2 linked regions of the Macaca mulatta genome follow. The protein of the gene in region 1 interacts with the protein of each later gene in a pairwise test. Links are inferred from orthologs where the notes say so. Each region holds a gene or a part of one and is shown in the gene's direction. Other genes may lie near its edges. The genes, in order: APTX and XRCC4.

The links.
Region 2: the proteins of APTX (region 1) and XRCC4 interact in binary tests that used the Homo sapiens proteins (3 or more experiments, as listed by UniProt). The link is inferred for Macaca mulatta from reciprocal best matches to the Homo sapiens genes APTX and XRCC4.

What each region holds. Positions count from the first base shown.
Region 1 is NC_133420.1:66,398,787-66,405,551, forward strand, and holds the end of APTX (aprataxin), read left to right. Parts: intron 1-2,029; coding exon 2,030-2,133; intron 2,134-3,226; coding exon of another isoform or gene 3,227-3,231; exon of another isoform or gene 3,232-3,262; coding exon 3,263-3,417; 3' UTR 3,418-4,270; downstream 4,271-6,765. UniProt on the Homo sapiens protein: DNA-binding protein involved in single-strand DNA break repair, double-strand DNA break repair and base excision repair.
Region 2 is NC_133411.1:89,504,358-89,511,237, forward strand, and holds part of XRCC4 (DNA repair protein XRCC4), read left to right. Parts: intron 1-3,176; coding exon 3,177-3,332; intron 3,333-4,436; coding exon 4,437-4,543; intron 4,544-6,880.

The sequences.
Region 1 (6,765 bases):
AAAATGTTAGTATAATGCAGTTATTGTAAACAGCCTATGACTTGATTTTGATTTGGAAACCTATACTGACCAAGTATTAAGCTTAAGGATTGTATAAATCATTAAAGCTGTGGTCTTTTCATATGGAGGTTGATAGATAATTTTTTTGTCTTGAGCCTTATTTGGTGACTTTCTGTTCATGTAATTCATCATGTGTGAATAAGGTTGTTGAACAAACTGAACACATGGGCTATAACAAGTTATTTTTTATTTTTTATTATTATACTCTTAAGTTCTAGGGTACATGTGCACAACATGCAGGTTTAATACATAGGTATACATGTGCCATGTTGGTTTGCTGCACCCATCAACTCATCATTTACATTAGGTATTTCTCCTAATGCTATCCCTCCCCGAGCCCCCCACCCCACCGACAGGCCCCGGTATGTGATGTTCCCCACCGTGTGTCCAAGTGATCTCATTGTTCAGTTCCCCCATATGAGTGAGAACATGCAGTGTTCTCATGGTTATAGCAAGTAGTTATATAGTACAGATCTTTCCATTACATTTTATTGTTTAAACAAAACAAAATTTGTTTTTCTGTTAGGAATAAGAAAAAAATGGTTTTTATATAGGTTCTTAGGGTACACTTGCAATACACTTACCGGCCACTGCTGCAAAGTCTACGTTTTGTTGTGCTGAATCTGCATTCTATCAGATACCTATGGAAAGACCTCAGTATATGCTTTGCAGTCTGCTTTGCTCCCCTTTTCCAGTTTCCTGTTGCAAATCATTTTGATGTAATACAGAAAACAACATTTGAATATCTACATGAAGAATTGACCTACCAGTATCAGCCCACCTCTACTTTGTCAGTTCATAGTGAAATCTTTTATCATTCCAAAAATAAAGTGCATTTTCTTTTTTCTTTTTTTTTGAGACGGAGTGTAACTTTGTCACCCAGGTTGGAGTGCAGCGGCACGATCTCAGCTCACTGCAACCTCCGCCTCCTAGGTTCAAGTGATTCTCCTGCCTCAGCCTCCTGAGTAGCTGGGATTACAGGTGCCTGCCACCACGCCCAGTTAGTTTTTTGTATTTTTAGTAGTTAGTTTCACCATGTTGGTCAGGCTGGTCTTGAACTCCTGACCACAAGTGATCTACCTGCCTTGGCCTCCCAAAGTGCTGGGATTACAGGCGTGAGCCATCGCATCTGGTCGCATTTTCAAAAGAATGAATTTAAGAATAATAAAATTAAAATAGGCCCACTTTTAAATTGTGGTCCATTTTAAAATTTGTCATTCAAATTTTTTGTTGTTAAAAATATATATATAAATCAGATAATAGCACTCTTTGGCTGAAAATCCTTCAAGAGCTTCCCAGTAGATTCAGAATAGAATGCAAACCCCTTGTTGGCCTTTAAGAGCCTTTATGACCTGGCTTCTGCCTCGTGTCTGCTGCTTGGCTGCAACAATTCAGGCCATACATTTGGGCCATATTACCTTTTTTCTGTTTCTTAGTTGCCCTGAGCTTTTCCTCATCTCAGGGTCCCTGCTCTTGGCCTCCTCACTTTCTGAGACACTCTTCCCACAGACCTTGCTTGCCTGGCTGCTGTCTCAGTTCAAATCACTTCCTGGGAGATGCTTTCCCTGAACACTGTTAACTAAAGAGGCAGCTTCTACTCCCGGGCACTCTATCCCATTTTCCTTATTTTTTCTTGGCAATGTTAATTCTTTAAGTTTTTGTTGTTGTTTGCTTATTATTTGTCTTTCCTCATTAGCATACAATTTCTATAAGGACAGAGGCTTTTCCCATTTTGTTTCTTGCTAAAGTCTCAGTGCCTGTACCTAGTTATTGGCCATAGTACCTACTTATTGAGCGTTGAATATTCTTAAGTAAATGAATGAATCAATTGAATTAAATGGACATACTATCAATTCAATAGTATGAATATTCAAAGAGTATGAATACAATGTACTCATACTCTTTGTCCTTTTGATTAAGCCATAGTTGTTAAAGAGTTTAATGCTCAGTTTTTTTTTCTTTCAACTAGCCATGTACATCTTCATGTGATCAGCCAGGATTTTGATTCTCCTTGCCTTAAAAACAAAAAACATTGGAATTCTTTCAATACAGAATACTTCCTAGAATCACAAGGTAAACAGTGTTGCTTGGTTTTCACATTTGTTTTGTTTTCTGAGCTGTTCTTATATTTAATTTGGTTGTTTCCCTGAATAACAACCTGACCTCAAAGACCTATGTACAACTTTGTGTTCCCTACAAAGCGAGCCATGTGCCGGGCGCGGTGGCTCAAGCCTGTAATCCCAGCACTTTGGGAGGCCGAGACGGGCGGATCACGAGGTCAGGAGATCGAGACCATCCTGGCTAACACGAGACCATCCTGGCTAACACGTCTCTACTAAAAAATACAAAAAACTAGCTGGGCGAGGTGGCGGGCGCCTGTAGTCCCAGCTACTCGGAAGGCTGAGGCAGGAGAATGGCGTAAACCCGGGAGGCGGAGCTTGCAGTGAGCTGAGATCCGGCCACTGCACTCCTACCTGGGCGACAGAGCGAGACTCCGTCTCAAAAAAAAAAAAAAAACAAAAAAAAAACGAGCCCTGTGAAAAGAAACTGGATTATTTGGATTGTAGTATTATTGCCACTTTGCTGTGAGTTGTCTTCTTGGGGGACCTAGAAAGCTATTATGTCAGGGTCAGTGTTTTATTGTGACAACAGGGGACTTAAAGGCTGCCGTGAGGATTAGTGGAGTTCATGGATAAGAAAACTGTGGACAATTCTTTGTCTCTTCTGCCATCAGTTGGGTATGAGCTTCAGGGCTGCCTCCTGTCAGGAGTGGTGAAATAGCAGGGGGAAGGCTGTGTATATGTAGAAGAAAGCATTTCCTGGTGTGTAATGCTTTCTTACACACCAGGATATGCTTTCCTGATGTGTAAGAGCTTAAGCATTGCTGGGGTGTTCACAATGGCAGCTGGCATTTACCAAGGGCCAACTAGAGGTAAAGCACTGTGATGAGCTCTTGACAAAGTAATATGGATTGCCTAGAGTGTGTCCTGAAGGAGTGTATTATTTCAAAGGTCGATTGCTCCTATTTATAATCTGATTAAGCTCATTTTGCCTGAGGGAAGTCTAAACTAAACTCACCGAGCTTTAGAATACCTGGCCTGGCATACTGATTGGAGTCATGTTTTTTATTTTATTTTATTTTTGGTATCTCATATGGGTTTTCCAGAGTAGCTGGGATTTGACTTTTCTTCCTTGCCTGCAGCTGTGATCGAGATGGTACAAGAGGCTGGTAGAGTGACTGTCCGAGATGGGATGCCTGAGCTCTTGAAGCTGCCCCTTCGTTGTCATGAGTGCCAGCAGCTGCTGCCTTCCATTCCTCAGCTGAAAGAACATCTCAGGAAGCACTGGACACAGTGATTCTGCAGGGCCTGAGCTGCTGCTGCGGTGTGGCCCACTGGAGCAAACTGCTGGCATCTATTCTGGGTTGCTTGTGAACTTCTACTCATTTCCTAAATGAAAACATGCAGCTTTTTCACAGAGTTTATTCTGTTATTGAGTGGCCACAATGTAGAGTCGCTCGAAGTAGTTCAGGATTAGGAATTGGGGTTTGTCATAGATATATTCTCTGGTGAGGGTGGCTGGGATATACCTGACTCACCATCTTCAGGACCCATGTCAGGTCTGACCATTGGGAGCAAAGCTATGTTCACACTGACCTAAGGGAGAATATGAAAGCAGTGGGCTGGTTATAAATTTATGTTTCTTAGATTTATCCTCCACCTCTGTAGGCATGGACACCCTTTAATCAGAGCACCTAGAGTGGCCTCTTGTTTATCCTAAAGATACTGATGGGCCTTGTTTTCTGTTAGTCTGTTATGTAATATTATTCTTTTCCCTTCCTTCGTGGGGAGGCTTACTTTGTCCAGTCCTTCCATTCCCTTCTATCTTAGATTACCTAAATGTTCCCTTCTCAGGAATTCTGTCTCATCAGTTCTTCACTGTGAGCAAAGAGGCTAGATGAGGGTGTGGGGGGTTGGAGTTTTCTTCTAATATCAAGGGTTCCTGGCTGTGAGGAAACAGCCACATGTTCGTCATGATTCAGCTGTGAAGTCGTTTTGGACCTGTTGTCTGAAAATAAAGTTAATTTGTTTGAGGCATCTCTCTTAAGTAGGTGGAAACTATTGAAGTTCAGCTGACAATTACAGCATAGGCTCTAATGCATGAAAAGGTGGTTGGTGAATGAAAAAGTTGCACAGAGCCACTACTTTATTTTTCCTTGAGAACAAATTTGGATAAAACAGTTGTATTCAGTTGTTTTTTGGGATAATATTAAACTAAAGGTGAAGGGAAAGCTAAAAAGTTGTTTTTGATCAAATTGTGGATATCTTTGGGGGTGGGACTTTTCACTCAAGTTGTGAGAAAAAAGTAAACACCCTTAACCAAAGCGTCTTCTGGAGAGAAAAAGCCACAGTCCATAGAGACATTTGACCTTTTCGCAAACAAACAAGATGCCACAGTGGTTACTTAGCATGGGTATAGTAAGAATTATATAATTAATGATCATAGCCGCTTACATTTGTCTGACTCCTATGTGTCCTGCATTATGCTAAACACTTTACTCAAATGATGTCATTGAATTCTCTCTGTACATAACTCTATGAGGTTAGGTGCTATTGTTATGCCCCTTTAATGGATGAGAATCTCATATTCTATAATGGGTCCTGGGCACCATCCAAATTTGGTATTGAGTCTGATGCATCAACTCATTATTTTTCCGATCAGTTGAACAGTATAAATGCAAGACTAACAGCAGAAGCCGTAGAACCCAGGGGCCTCGGACCTGTGCTGATCAAAAGCTTTCCGTGGCATTTCATTGATTTCCCTGAGATCAGCCAGTTCCTTTAGCCCTTTTTGTCCATCTCTCACTACCCAATGTCTTTCATCTCTTTTCTCTGCTCCTTCTGCACTCCAGGATTGTAATCCTTAACGTCATTAGTCCATCCATCCACAGTTCTTCTATCTGGCTTGATGCTGGACCTGTGGGCCTGCTCGATTGTCTGTTTCCTCTCCTGAGGTGGTTGTCTACATACACTGTGGCTCCTGGAGGTTCTTCCCCAACCCAGCTGCAGAGGGCATGTGGCCTTTTCTTTGCAGTCATCAGGTAGCAGGCACAGAAACTTTTGAAAATTGGTTGGGCATGGTGGCTCACGCCTGTAATCCCAGCACTTTGGGAGGCCGAGGCGGGCAGATCACAAGGTCAGGAGATCGAGACCATCCCGGCTAACACAGTGAAACCCTGTCTCTACTAAAAAAAAAATTAGCCAGGTGTGGTGGCAGACGCCTGTAGTCCCAGCTACTTGGGAGGCTGAGGCAGGAGAATGGTGTGAACCCAGGAGGCAGAGCTTGCAGTGAGCTGAGATCGCACCACTGCACTCCAACCTGGGCGACTGAGTGAGACCCCATCTCTTTTTTTTTTTTTTTTTTTTTTTTTTGAGACGGAGTCTCACTCTGTCTCCCAGGCTGGAGTGCAGTGGCCGGATCTCAGCTCACTGCAAGCTCCGCCTCCCAGGTTCACGCCATTCTCCTGCCTCAGCCTCCCGAGTAGCTGGGACTACAGGCGCCCACCACCTCGCCCGGCTAGTTTTTTGTATTTTTTAGTAGAGATGGGGTTTCACTGGGTTAGCCAGGATGGTCTCGATCTCCTGACCTCGTGATCCGCCCGTCTCGGCCTCCCAAAGTGCTGGGATTACAGGCTTGAGCCACCGCGCCCAGCCTGAGACCCCATCTCAAAAAAAAAAAAAAAAAAAGTAAAAAGAAAAAATCATACGCGTATTAGTTAAGAACAGGCTCTGGATTCAGACCTGGGTCCCAATCCTAGCTTTGCTACTCAGAGCTGAGGGATCTTAGGTAAGTTACTTATTTTCTCTGAACTTCAGAATTCACATATGTAAATGGACATAACAGAGTTGAGTTATAAGGATTAAATAATCTATGTAAAGGGTTTAGCATAGTATCTGGCACGGAGAAGGACTCCATAAATGTTAACTGGAAGCCTCTGCTTTTATCTCACTGGAGGCTGGGAAGGAGGATTCACCTGATCCATGCCTCTCTGCATCTGAATCCTTACTGCTGCTGGAAACTTTATGAATACGTACTCCATGTACTCCTTAGATCAGAATTACTAGTTTACCTTTTAAAAAATGTAAGCACTTGGGCTTTACCCAAGAATTACTGAATCACAATCCTGAGGGCCTAGGAATCTTCATTTTAAACCATTCAGGGTGAACTTTATTTTATTGAGGTTTCAGAACCACAATATAAATGAACCTTTGGCTTCAAAGCACCTTGCATTTCTGAAGCTTACGGATTTGGCTGTGTCCTGCCAGGACACAAATAACATTTTCTGGTTAGCTGCCTGGGCCTGTCATAGGTCTGCCTTCCCTCTGCTGTTTCAAGGTTATTTCAGAGTCCGGGGAGACCTCCGGCATTAGCTGAAGGGGAGTCCCTCATTACAGGGTTCTTCAGGAGTTTGGCAGAGCTCCTTTGGCCCCAGGCTCTTAGGAGCCAGGTCTGGAGATGACTTCCCCTCAGTGGCTCCCATTCCCTCTTCATGCCCAGAGATCAGTCCAGTGGCTTGATCTGGGACCTGTAATGAACACTGCCAGCCTTAGGCTCAGAGTGTATTTTTCCTTCTCTGGGTCTGTCTGAGATACCCAGGTACAAATGGTCCTTGTAGGGACCAGATCATACTTCAGGTTAAGGATG
Region 2 (6,880 bases), on another chromosome or scaffold:
AGCAAGGTTAACTCATATGATAACATTCATTCTATTTACTTTGTTTCCCTGTCACAGAAATGTTTCCTTTGACAGCATAGTTCTGATACTGGTTACTTAAGATGAACAATATTCTTTAGGAATATTATATGATATTTCATTTTTATATTTATTTTCACTTTGAATGTGTCACACCAAATGTTAATTTTAATAAAGGTTTGGGAATTAGCTTGTTAATTGTTAATAACGTACACAATCTTTCAATAAAGAATTATCGAAGTGACTTATATGGAAATTAAATATGGACTTAAACCAGATAAATTACTAATTGGCTACCATTCCTAAAATTTAATATAAGAAATTGTAATAGATTTGTTTATGTTTTCACATGTTGGTTTTTACTTTGTATATGTTTGAAGTATGTTATTATATACTCAGGTATTTCAGTAATATATATGTTTTAAAGTTTTTTATTTTTTTTTTGAAAATATTATAGGAAGATGAGAATATCATGCTTACATAACACTGAATCTGAAATATAAATGTAGTGACATATCTTTGCTTAAAATAAACTATCAATATTGCTAGCTCCTTTTCAATATTCAATTTTTTTCTAACATCTTTTCATATACTTCTGTCTCAGAGAACTTTGCTGAATGAAGGGAATACTGCTAGATTGATATTATTTGACGCAGTTTTTTAAAAAGCTGAAGATGAAAAATATTACTTATACAATGGTGAATAGCTATTAAATCAGTGAAAAAAATGCAATATTCAGAATCACTGTTTTTCTGTTTCCTTATAAGATGTCAATATTAGCCATTCTCCTTGGCTCTTCTCCTTTGCTGGAGGGCTATAGTCAGACATGGTGCCCAGCAGGAATGGCATAATCCTGAAGCTCCACTTTTATAAGAACTGGCAGTGGCCCATAGCGACATGGTTCACCCAGCCTGCAAGGAAGAGCCACAGACATGAGACCAGAGAAGTCAAAGCCCACTGCATTGCCCGGTGCCTTGTATCTGGACCCATTGGCCCCTAGTAAAATGTCCCACATGAGGTTTCACACCAAGTACAAGCTGGCAGGGGCTTCAGCTTGGAAGAATTAAGGGTGGCCAGCATCCACAAGAAGATGGCCTGGACCATTGATTTCTCTATTGATCCAAGAAGGTGAAACAAGTCCATTGAGTCCTTGCAGGCCAATGTATAACAGCTTTAGGAGTACTGCTGGAAGCTTATCCTCCTTCTCTAGGAACCTCAGCCTCCAAGAAGGGAGACGGCTACACTGAAGAACTCAAATTGGCCATCACACTGACAGGACCAGTAATGTTCATATGGAATACCTATAAGAAGGAGAAAGCCAGAGTCATCACCAAGAGGAAGAGAACTTCAAGACTGCCACATCAAACTGGGTGCAGTGGCTCATGCCTGTAATCCCAGAACTTTGGGAGGCTGAGGTGGGCGGATCACGAGTTCAGGAGTTCGAGACCAGTCTGACCAACATGGTGAAACCCTGTCTCTACTAAAAATACAAAAATTTGCCGGGCATGGTGGCGGGCGCCTGTCATCCCAGCTACTCAGGAGGCTGAGGCAGGCGAATTGCTTAAAACCAGAAGGCGGAGGTTGCAGTGAGCCGAGATCGTGCCACTGCACTCCAGCCTGGGCAACGAGAGTGAAACTCTGTCTCAAAACTAAACACAAAACAAAACAAAAACCTGCCATATCAATGCCTGGCTCTTTGGCCTCTGGGCAAAAAGGACCAAGGAAGCTGCAGAACAGGATGTTGAAAAGAAAAAATAAAGCACTGTTGAGGCCTTGTAATAAATCAGCAGTAAACCTGGGAAAACAAATAAACCAAAAAGATGTCCATATTAATTTACTCACTTTATTCGTTTGTCTGATAAGAACCTACCAAACCTCTGTAGAATGCTAAACACTATGCTGGGCACTGAGGATACCATGGCCAGTAAAACACACATGCTCTCTGCTTTCCTGGAGTTCACATCCTTGGCAAAGACTATGCTATAAGAATTTGCTGAAATTGGTCCCAGAGAATATATTGCCATATTTTCCTTTTTATCCTATGAGAGGTTTGAATTCTTTGCATCTCTAGATAGGTAGATTGTTGAAAGTTTAAGGGTGTGTATATAAAAGGTATCTAATTTGGACATTTGTGTTTCTAATTTCACTGAAATATATATGTGTGTGTCTGTATATGTACACACATATATGTTACTACTGGTATATGTGTGTGTGTGTGTTTATGTACAGCATAAAAATACTAGGATACTTGTATATCGAACAACAACAATGTAAATAAGCAGTATAAAACGACATTGAAAAGAATACATAAAATAATTTGTATTTGAATCTCTAAAATAAGAATGTATTCATCATGTATGCGTGTGCACATTTTAAGTATATACAACCTCAGCTATTTTGCTTTCTTTACTTTATATCTCTCTTGGGAGCTTAAAATAAATACAAACCCTGTTAGCTCATTGAGCAGTGTAGGACGAATTATAAACAATAGAGAATTTTATGTTTTGTCTCAGGTATCTAAATTTGAAGATACGTAATGTTTTACATTTGCTGTTTTATTAATCTCTCCTTGGATATATCAAGTAGAATACTTTCATTGTATGTGTATTGTGTTTCTATATGTATTTGTATGTGTGTGTGTGTGTGGTGCTCGCTTATAAGAATATAACTGGATAAGTCGTGTTCTTGTTGTAGAGCAGTTCATTGTCTAGTAGAGCAGTCAAGACAAATTAGCTGTATTGCCTTATCACAAAACAAGATTGTAGTTGCTTTTATAGTAATATTAACATAGTACTGAGGAAACACAGGCTACATTTACTCTTGTTTGAAATTTATCCCATAAAAACATTCTTTTGTAAATAAACCATAGATGTCAATAAATTATTATCTTTAGGCATTTTGATTTTCTAAAGGCTTATTTGTATCAATTTTCAATTTTGATCCTTATCTCAGTACATGAATTACATGAATAACCAATAATTTCTAATTGTGTATTTAACCATCTTTATAAAACTTTTAAGTCAGTGAAAGCATATGTGAAAATAATCTTTAATTGTATTTTCTTTGAAAAATTTTATTGAAATCTTCTTGATTATTAGATTGAATTATGTTAATGGTAAGCAGAACTGCATGACTAATTTGTTTACTTACTTTTTCAGATTTGAAAAATGTGTGAACGCTAAGGAAGCTTTGGAGACTGATCTTTATAAGCGGTTTATTCTGGTGTTGAATGAGAAGAAAACAAAAATCAGAAGTTTGCATAATAAATTATTAAATACAGCTCAAGAACAAGAAAAGAACATCAAACAAGAAGGGTATTTTGGCTATCTAGTTTTTGGATGACAGATGTATAAATTTAAGTGGAATTTCTTCCCAAAGTTAATGAACATTAGGTGCCAACTTTTTGGTCATATGAGATAATTTGGTAGACTGGATGTGGATGCTCAGGCTGTTAGACGGGTGCCATGGGCTAGAGAGTTCTCAGCATGCTCGCTCCATGTCTGCTCAACTGTCTCACCTACACTTAAATTTAAAAATTGACATGAGGCTTATTAAAGTATTATTTAATTCTTAGACATTAGTAAGAAATATTAATTTAAAAACCCTTTCATCTGCAGAACTACAAAGTTGGATGCATATTTGTAATCTTGATGTCTAGGCAATAGTTAACTTTTGAATCAAGTTGTTAATATTAAATTCCAGGGAGCATTTATTTTACCTGATTACAGTGTGATTACCAATCTTATTCTTCTTTAACGTTTTCTCTGAGAGTAGATATGTACTTGATTTTTATGGAAGAATCGTAAGTGACAAATGGCTGATATGGGTTTCAACGATTATAACTTTTTTACACATTAGCAAATACACGTTAGGGTCTATTGCTTTGAATCTTAGTAAAAGTGCAGAATTACTAGTGACATAGTATAAAAAAATTTGATATCAGCTAGTCCTAGTTCAGGTACTGGTCTTGCAGTCATACCTATTAGTTTATAGCTTTGGACACATCACTTTTTTTTCATAATAAAGGTAAAGATACCCATCTTAGGGCTTTGCAGAGATCAAATGAAATAAGGAACTGCTCTGAGATTAGTAAAATGTTAAATACTCTGTGACTCACAGAGATAATTTGGTAGAAAAAAGTATTTTGATAGAAGAATAGTACCTGATAAGAAACTGATTTAATATTAATTATAATGAGTACTAAATTCAGATTAAAATTGGGTAAAAGAGAAACTTGTTCTTAAGAGAGTTAATATATAGGTTTTAAGATGCTTTCATCTAAGTCATATAAATTTTCAATATGTTTGTCTAATTAGAATCTTTTTCCAGAAATATTTTCTATAATTACTTACTGGTAAATTTGCTGCCTAGCAGGGGGTGAGCCAATGATTTATAATTCTACCTGTCTCTGTTTCTAGGGAAACTACAATCTGTTCTGAAATGACTGCTGACCGAGATCCAGTCTATGATGAGAGTACTGATGAGGAAAATGAAAACCAACCTGATCCCTCTGGGTCGGCTTCAGGTAAGAGAGATATAAATTTATCTCCTTTGTTGAATATCTCACTTGGGCTTCTTACTCTAATGACAAGAAACCATAATGGAAAAATGTTGTGAAAAACCTTATTCTATGAAAATTCTTTAGCATTTTTATTTTAAAGACTCAAATTTTTAATGTTAAAACTTAATATTATTTGTAAAATGCAGCAACTCGTTAGCACAGCAATGTGAGCCAGCATTAATACACATATACTCCAAGGTATACTATTCCTGGTTAAATATAACCAGGAAAAGCATAAGCAATGAGGAAGATACACCTTTATGCTAAATATCTTCAGCTTAAAGCTGGTTGCCTTTAAGATTCGAGATTTTATTTAGCTAAAGCCATCGATAGGCCACTGGAACAAAGTAATCAAGAATGCTCTAAATTATACGAAAGCTGAGGCCTTCTTTCACTCTTCAGAAAAAAGGATTACAACAAGTGAGATGTGGTAGAGGAAAAGAGAAGGGGAAAAATGGCAGTTTAGTTTGAAGTACCTATGACTTAGTCCTTTGGATCAAGTTTCCAGCAAGCGTTTAAACCCATGAGTTTTTTTTTTAAATATTTTATAGATTTCTTAGTGGCAGTGGAAACAGGAGCCTCTGAACTCATTTTATGCTTAATTTTGACCTAAAGCCAATACTATAAAAATAAATGTTTGATTTATTTATTTAGAAAATATTTTTGAGGTCCTATTATGTACCAGAAACTTTGCTATGCATTAGACAACAAAACAAAAAAATCTGTGCCGTTGTGGAGTTTAAATTGTAATCAGGAAAATATATAAGATGAACAAATGTAAAATATGTTAGGTCGATAAGTGCTAAAGAGAAAAATAAACCAGAGAAGGCCGATAGAAAGGTCAGGGTGAGAATAAGGATGAGCGTTGTGATTTTAGCCAGGCTATCAGAAAAGGCCTCAGTGAGAAGGTGAAAGTGACTTGGCTATCTTGGGGAAGAGCATGCCAAACAGAAAACAAAAACAAAAAAACAGTAAGTACAAAGTTCCCGATGCGTTTAAGCAATAGTACAGAGTGTAATCTGGATAAAGTAGAAAGATGAAGACTGGGAGAATTAGGAAATGAGATGAGAGAGATGATAGGACCTCATCATGTGTAGGGTGAGGTAGGCTACCATTAGAACTTCTCTTGTTACTTTGAATTAACTTGGAAACTACTGAAGGATTTTAAACAGTCAAGTGACATAATCTGACTCAAATTTCAACAGGATTAGTCCGTGTGTTGTATTAAGAATAGACTATAGGATGACAAGTGCAGAAGAAGATATAACAGATGGGAAGCTAGTACAACAGTTGGGTGAAAGATGAGACTGGCTTAGACCAGAGTGATGGAGAGGTGATGAGCAAGGAGCAGATTCTAGGTATGCTTAGAGGCAGCAGGTTTTGCTGAAGAAGGGGTTTTGACTGAGCAAGTAAGACTGAGAGGGAGCATCCAGGAGGTAAGAGGCAAAAATATAAATGTGGTATCCTGCTGATTGATGGATTTAGCAATACAAATGTTATTAAGGATCTTAATAGAACATATTCACTTGGTTGGTGAAGGAAGGAGATAGGAGAGAATAGGAGTTTCAAAGGGAATGGGAGGAGAGAACTGGAGATGAGACAGGCAACACTTTCAACAAATTTCACTGTAAAAAATGGGAAAGACATGGGGCAGCAGCTGGAGGGGGAAGTAGGATAAAGAAAAGTATTTTTGTTTGTTGTTTTTAAATAAAAGAAAGAAAATGTTTGTATACTGATGAGAGTAACTAAAGAGAGCAGGTAAAACCATCAAGGCAGTAGACAGAGGAAAAACTACTAGAAATCTGTCTCTGAAATTATAGGTGGATGGGATCCAAGGGACAAGTAGTAGATTAGTTTAGCCAGGAGCGTAGTCACTCCCCTGAATGACAGGAGAAAAGGTAGAATAAATAGACAAAGACACAGGAAAGTATCTAATTGCAGTCACAGAAACTTATTAACATTGATTAAATTGGTTGAATCATCTGATTCTAATCAGATTTGGATTACACAATACACACACAATCATACGTTTGCACGTGGGAATGAAATTTCTTTTCATTTGGTAGCTGTGCTTGTTTTACCCTAGTGTCCCATTTAAAATGAAATTATTATTTAAGAATCAAATATAGAAAAACTCACAAAGATAATTTGAACTCTTTCCAGTTTAAACTTTCAGATTTTTTATTAAATACAATGACCTTTGCTCTTCTTTCTTAGTCAGAGTATCTTACCAACATTTGAAGTAGCTGAAGATTATTGATGAGAAAATACATGGTTAAATATGACTACATGAGAAAGAGG